2 linked regions of the Cricetulus griseus genome follow. The protein of the gene in region 1 purifies or fractionates together with the protein of each later gene. This does not show direct contact. Links are inferred from orthologs where the notes say so. Each region holds a gene or a part of one and is shown in the gene's direction. Other genes may lie near its edges.

Region 1 (3,830 bases):
ATTTTTATAAATAGTCCCTAAAATCACTATAACCTGTCAGGTTAAAAAATGGGCTGGAGAAAATAGCTCAGGGGTTGAGAACACTGCTGTTCTTCTAGTGGACCCAGGTTCAATTCCTAGCACCCACATGGCAGCTCCCAACTGTTCCAGGGAACCTGACACCCTTACACAGACATACACACAAGCAAAACACACATAAAAATAAATAAGTCTTTAAAAACAAAAAAATAGTCACTTAAGCTGGATGTTTTGGCCCACGCCTTTTATCCCAGAGCTCAGGAGGCAGAAGCAGGTGAGTTTGAGGCCAGCCTGGTCTCCAAAACAAGTTCCAGGATGGGGGGGGGGTTACTTGAGGGATGGCTCAGCAGGTAAGAGTGGTGTAATGATTTTGTAGAAGATGAGGGTTCGGGTCCCGTACCCGCATAGCTACTTGCTTGCAGCTCTCTATAAATCTAGCCCCAGCAGGCCCTTTTTGGGCCTCTGAAGGCATTCATATGGTGCATATACATACATGCAGACAAACATACATACACACAAAATGAAATGAGTCTGTAGTGGTTAAGAGTACTTGTTGCCGGATTATGAAAACCACAGTTCAGATCTCAGAACACACATAGCAATAACAAGCTGGGCAATCATCTCTAACTCGGCTCTGAAGACTCTGATGCTGACTTCTGGCCTCTGTGTACATAGGCACATGCACACGCACACTGAAAAATACCATGATTTTTATCCAGTAAAAGAAAAGGGGCATTGATAGGAAAAACTAGTGCAGTCCAAATGAAGCCTATGTTAGTAAGTTCTGACAATTATAGTATGTCCCTGTCTGCACTTTGCATTCCTATAAATCCAAATTTTTATGAAATTAAGATTTTGGGGAATTGGTAGTGTCGGATAAATCATGTGATTGTTTTGGGGTTGGTTGAATTGGATTGTTTTATTGGCAATTTTTACTTCTAAATTTTATTTCATAGGTCTTAATCCATATTTAACTCTAAACAACTCTGGTAGTGGAACAATTCTCATAGATCTGTCTCCGGATGATAAAGAGTTTCAATCTGTGGAGGAAGAGGTATGTTCATCACGCTTAAGAAAATGGATATTATGGATCTAACCACTCATGTGGTTGATTCCGTTGCTGTCATTTTTTGTTGGTTTGTTTTGGTTTGGGTTTTTGTCCCTCTTTCACCAACTAGAGAATTTGGAAGTATTTACAATGCATTTGGTTTTTCCCCCACTCCTTTTTTCTTTCTTTTTTAATTTTTATTTTTATGTTGCATGGATGCTTCACCTGCATGTGTATTCATATAAAGGTGTCAGATCTTGGAGTTACAGACAGTTGTAAGGTGCCATATAGGTGCTGCAGAATTGAACCTGGGTCCTGGAAGAGCAGTCACTGCTCAATGGATTTCTTAATTAACCTTAGTTTTAGATACTTGGATCACTAACTGCTTCATTAATGTGGAACCAGAAACCAAAATTCTGTTGGAGAAGGTCTCTGTCATTTGAAAATAATGGTAGTATTCACTCCCTTTATGAAGGCAATTACAAAGTGAGGAATCTCAGATAGTACTCAACATGTAGATAGTATTTATCTGGGAAATTTTTATTCTGGTTTCTTTTCAAAGATTTCTTCAATCCACTGAAATCTTAGAAAAGTTATCCTCCTATGTATTTTGGGGGGGAGCAGGGGGAGCAAGGTAGCTACATATTCTTTTGAAACAATATGTAGCTTTAGCTGTCCTGGTTTTCACTCTCTAGACCAGGCTGGCCTCAAACTCAGAGATCCACCTTCCTCTGACTCCTCGTGCTTGGATTAAAGGTGTGTGCCATCACACCTCACTGAAGAGTCATTACACTCTCATGTACATGTGCCTCATCTGTTTGAATTAAGCACATATGCAAAATTCAGTGAGATTTTGTTCTAAAGATCATACTCACAAGAAAATATATATTGTGCTTTATTAGTTTAATATCAGCACAAATAGACCATGCTTTTATGTTTAACATATTTCTACATTCCATTTTATCTTGGTTTACATTATGTAACTTTTCATCTATAAATATGTTTTCAGGATGCTTAATAGTCATCTCTAGAACATAGTACTTATGGTAATCCCAACCCTCAAGAGGCAGAGTCAGGCAGATGTCTGAGTTCGAAACCAGCCTGGTCTATAGATTGAGTTCTAAGACAGCCAGACCTGCACAGAGAAAACCTGTCTTGAAAGAAGAAAAATGTAGTCATGAGTTTATAGAATTAATGTCCTTTCAAGAAAAGTATTAAAACTACCTTGAATTCTCAAAAAATAGGATCAAATGAATCAAAACCATGTTCCCACAAATCAGAATGACAAAACTAATTTGTGTTTTAAATTCTTTTCATCAGATGCAAAGTACTGTCCGAGAGCACAGAGATGGAGGTCATGCAGGTGGCATCTTCAACAGATACAATATTCTCAAGGTAACAGATGAGTGAAAATAAAGTTTCCCAAGACTGTTACTTTCCACAACCCAAAGCCTTAAGTAGTCTTGATAAGAACATACTATCTGTCCAGCACCTTGCTTTTTGACATGGCTTCAGGAACTATTGAGGGGGAAGACTGTCCTACAAAACTTAAAATTCTAGACTGTCAGTAGTGGCACAAGCCTTTTAATGTCAGCACTTGGGAGGCAGAGGCAGGCTGATCTCTAATTTGAGGCCAGCCTGGCCTACAGAGCAAGTTCCATGACAACCAGGCTACACAGAGAAATCCTGTCTTGAAAAAAATGAATAAATAAAAATTATAAAAACTTACAGAAGGGAGCTGGAGAAATGGCTCATAGGTTAAGAGCACTGATTGCTCTTCCAGAGGTCCTGAATTCAATTCCCAGCAACCACATGGTGGCTCACAACCATCCATTATGAGATCAGGTGCCCTCTTCTGGTGTGCAGATATACATGGAAGCAGAATGTTGTATACATAATAAATAAAATAAAATAAAATAAACTTACAGAACAGTGTCAGTATGCCCTGAACTGAATGCATCCTTTAGGCTAGTGAGCACTAAAGTTTACTTGACTTGCTTGATTGTGTCTGCTACAATTAGATTATTCAGAGAAGGGAGCACTTACATAATGTTTGTGAAGCAGGAAATAGGAGAAGCTGATTTATAAATTACTGTGTTCAAATTGAAAAACATGCTGTTTCCTCCTCCTCCTTAAAGGTGTTTCAATACAACATTGAATTGTGTGTGTGTGTGTGTGTGTGTGCGCGCGCGAGTGCGTGCGTGCGTGCGTGTATGCGAAAATGATTTTATTTTTGTTCTATTTTATACATGAATAAGGTCAGTTGGTGCCAAGTGTTGTCCTTGATTACATCTGTTACCAGTACTTTGATTCCCCCCCCCCCATACTAAAACTGCAGCTCTGATGTGTGCTCCTAGGGATCACAGAGGCTGAAGCACTTAGTGTCCATTTGACCATAGAAATACTCCAGTAGAAGCTCAAGGGGAAAGGAAACGATAGGAAAGAAGGTGGGGGTATGTGTGGTGGGTGGCTATTTCAAATCTTGTTTGTGTATTATTTTTATTAATTTTTATTTTATATGCATTGGTGCTTTGCCTAGGATGTCAGGTCCCCTGGAACTGAAATTACAGACAGTTGTGAGCTGCCATGTGGGTGCTGGGAATTGAACCCAGGTCCTCTGGAAAAGCAGTGACTGCTCTTAACCACCGAGCCATCTCTCCAGCTGCCTTGTTTATGTATTTTGAGTCTGATAAAGTCTGTACAAAATTTAGCATGTCTGGGGGATTTCAGTGGTGACTTAGTGCTGACTTTTATTTTTTTTGTG
Region 2 (3,027 bases), on another chromosome or scaffold:
TCCAGGAGTTTGCTTTTAACAGTGTGTTTTCTTTTCACAAATATTTGCATGGTCCTGTATGAATATACATAAATCACACTGAAGGGTAGTACACAGGATTGTTGGATGCCTGATTAGAGTGAATTTTGGTAGGAGAGGAAGATAGTGTGAAAAGTGGCAGCCAGATCATTTGAGGCATCCTTAGAAACTTTAGATTATACTAAAATCAACCTTGTAAAGAAAGGAGTATGGGTGAATTAAAAGTATATATAGTGAATTAATAATCAATGTTTGATGACTTGAAAAAGAATGGGTAGTGGTACATGGATTTGGCAGATGGGATATGATATTAATATGACTTATCGATGTTTTGGATATAATGAGGCAAAAGGGTAGTTTAGGAGCTAAATTTCTGACTTACATAAACATCTAGAACCATAATCTAATTGCTAGTTAAAACAAAGGCTACAAATTGCTGTTGTCAGAGTCACAATTTGAAGGACCGAGCTATGTTTCTACTACATACTGAAGTTAATTTGGAGTAGGTGTCATGTTTTTAAATGCTACATTTAGTTCTGTCTTATAAATTCTGTGGCTGGGTAGAAACAATATTTAACATAAACTATATATGCCTTGCTTTATTTTTTGCTTAATAACTCTTCATTGGTTCCTGTAAATAAAAAGTGATGAGTTACAGCTACAAATAAAAGAGGGTGTTTACATATATTGAGTTTTTCCTGCTTTCACTTTCCCATCTTTTGTTTGAAATAGGGCATATGGAGCTCATGCTGGCTTTGAATTTGCTGGTCTCCGTTTTTATGTCTTCCTCCTATAGCTTGTGGTTTGCATGGAATAGGTACTTTGGGGGTATTTTCTGAACTCAAAGTGAATCAAGATATCAGAGAAGTTAAAAAAGAAAAAAAAAAGGTATCAGAGAAGTTTAAACCTGGTTTTACTTTTTTCTTCTCATTTTCCTAGGATGGCTGGCTGTGGTGAAATTGATCACTCGATAAATATGCTTCCTACAAATAAGAAGGCGAGCGAGTCCTGTTCCAATGCTGCACCTTCTCTATCAGTTCCCGAGTGTGCCATTTGTCTGCAAACATGTGTTCATCCAGTCAGTCTGCCCTGTAAGCATGTTTTCTGTTATCTCTGTGTAAAAGGCGCTTCATGGCTTGGGAAGCGATGTGCTCTTTGTCGACAAGAGATTCCTGAGGACTTCCTTGACAAGCCAACCTTGTTGTCACCAGAAGAACTTAAGGCGGCAAGTAGAGGAAATGGTGAATATGCGTGGTATTATGAAGGAAGAAACGGGTGGTGGCAGTATGATGAGCGCACTAGTCGGGAGCTGGAAGATGCTTTTTCCAAAGGTAAAAAGAACACGGAAATGTTAATTGCTGGGTTTCTGTATGTTGCTGATCTTGAAAACATGGTTCAGTATAGGAGAAATGAACACGGACGTCGCAGGAAGATTAAGCGAGATATAATAGATATACCAAAGAAGGGAGTAGCTGGACTTAGGCTGGACTGTGACACTAATACTGTAAATCTAGCAAGAGAGAGCTCTGCCGATGGTGCGGACAGTGTATCAGCGCAGACTGGAGCTTCTGTTCAGCTGCCAGTGCCATCTTCCTCAAGGCCCCTCACATCCGTTGATGGTCAGCTAACCAGCCCTGTAACACCATCCCCCGATGCAGGCACTTCTCTGGAAGACTCTTTTGCTCATTTACAACTCAGTGGAGACAGCATAGCTGAAAGGAGTCACAGAGGCGAAGGAGAAGAAGACCATGAATCACCACCTTCTGGCAGAGTGCCAGACACTTCTGTTGAAGAGACTGAATCGGATGCCAGCAGTGATAGTGAGGGCGCCCCTGTGGTGGTTGCACAGCACTCCTTGGCCCAACAGAGACTTTTGGTTTCAAATGCAAACCAGACAGTAGCTGACCGGTCAGACCGATCCGGGATTGACCGATCAGCAGCCGGGGCTGGAACCATGAGTGTCAATGTCAGGTCGAGAAGGCCTGATGGACAGTGCACAGTGACAGAGGTTTAAGTAAACGTCTTCAGTGCCACACTCAAGGGTGAAATGGATACCTGTAAATTTCTGCCCACATAACATTATACTCATCCTTAGTAGTGCATTGTGGGAGTTGGGGTGGGAAGGGATATGGGAAGGACAGACCTGAAATTAAAATGTCTAACATATCTCTGTTGAAATTTATTTAATGTGAGGAATTGGGGTGTTAATATTTGAGAGCTGTTCAGTAATAACACAGTTTTCTTGACATCTGTTTACTTTCTAGTGTATTTTTTTTCAGTCTTTTGTTCTTTTGGCCAGTGTGTACTTGTGCATTAATGGTCCTCATCTGACTCTTGCACAACTTTATTTTTCTGCATGGATTGGTATAAAATCATTACTAAAATTTGGCACCTGTGAGATATTTGATATCATTATGAGCAGGAAGCTTAATGTGGAAAATAGATGTGAATTTGGGATATAAAAATAGATGACTAACAACTACTTCATAGTTGGTCTCACTGAGATAGAAATGTAGAGCAGCAGCTGCTAAGTTCTTTCACAATCTGTAACACACTTCATGGTGTTCCTTTCCATAGGATTTGCTGTCTTGTCCTTGTACGTGGAGGGTTCTCTTAGTCTGCATTTTTTCTTTTTGATTAAAAAAACTTTATAATTTAATAAATACTAGAGTTTATCAAAAATAATTGTTTCTTGTTTGAGTTTGGAGATTGCTTCATAAGAAAAATTCACCGAGGTATTTTGTTTTTGTAAATTACATCAACTTAAGAAAGAACAAAATGGCCAGATGTAATAGTATATACTAGCATTTGGGAGATGGTGGAAGGGGGATTAGAAATTCAAGACTACCCTTGGCTGCATAATAAGTTTAAGACCCTGCCTTAAAATTTAAATTAATAAATATGTTACAAAAGATAAGCTCAAGAATAGATTTTCTGTTTGAAAATTGATCTTTGGCTCTAGGATAAGAATTACTGTAGGAATGTAGAAGTTGCTAGAAGTGATTTAAG

What was found.
Region 2: the proteins of Tnks2 (region 1) and Rnf146 purify together in Homo sapiens (co-immunoprecipitation; 3 studies listed by BioGRID and IntAct, with this or other methods). This does not show direct contact. The link is inferred for Cricetulus griseus from reciprocal best matches to the Homo sapiens genes TNKS2 and RNF146.

What each region holds. Positions count from the first base shown.
Region 1 is NC_048596.1:24,894,906-24,898,735, reverse strand, and holds part of Tnks2 (poly [ADP-ribose] polymerase tankyrase-2), read left to right. Parts: intron 1-974; coding exon 975-1,072; intron 1,073-2,386; coding exon 2,387-2,461; intron 2,462-3,830. UniProt on the Homo sapiens protein: Poly-ADP-ribosyltransferase involved in various processes such as Wnt signaling pathway, telomere length and vesicle trafficking.
Region 2 is NC_048595.1:247,887,327-247,890,353, reverse strand, and holds the end of Rnf146 (E3 ubiquitin-protein ligase RNF146), read left to right. Parts: intron 1-957; coding exon 958-2,032; 3' UTR 2,033-2,406; downstream 2,407-3,027. UniProt on the Homo sapiens protein: E3 ubiquitin-protein ligase that specifically binds poly-ADP-ribosylated (PARsylated) proteins and mediates their ubiquitination and subsequent degradation. May regulate many important biological processes, such as cell survival and DNA damage response.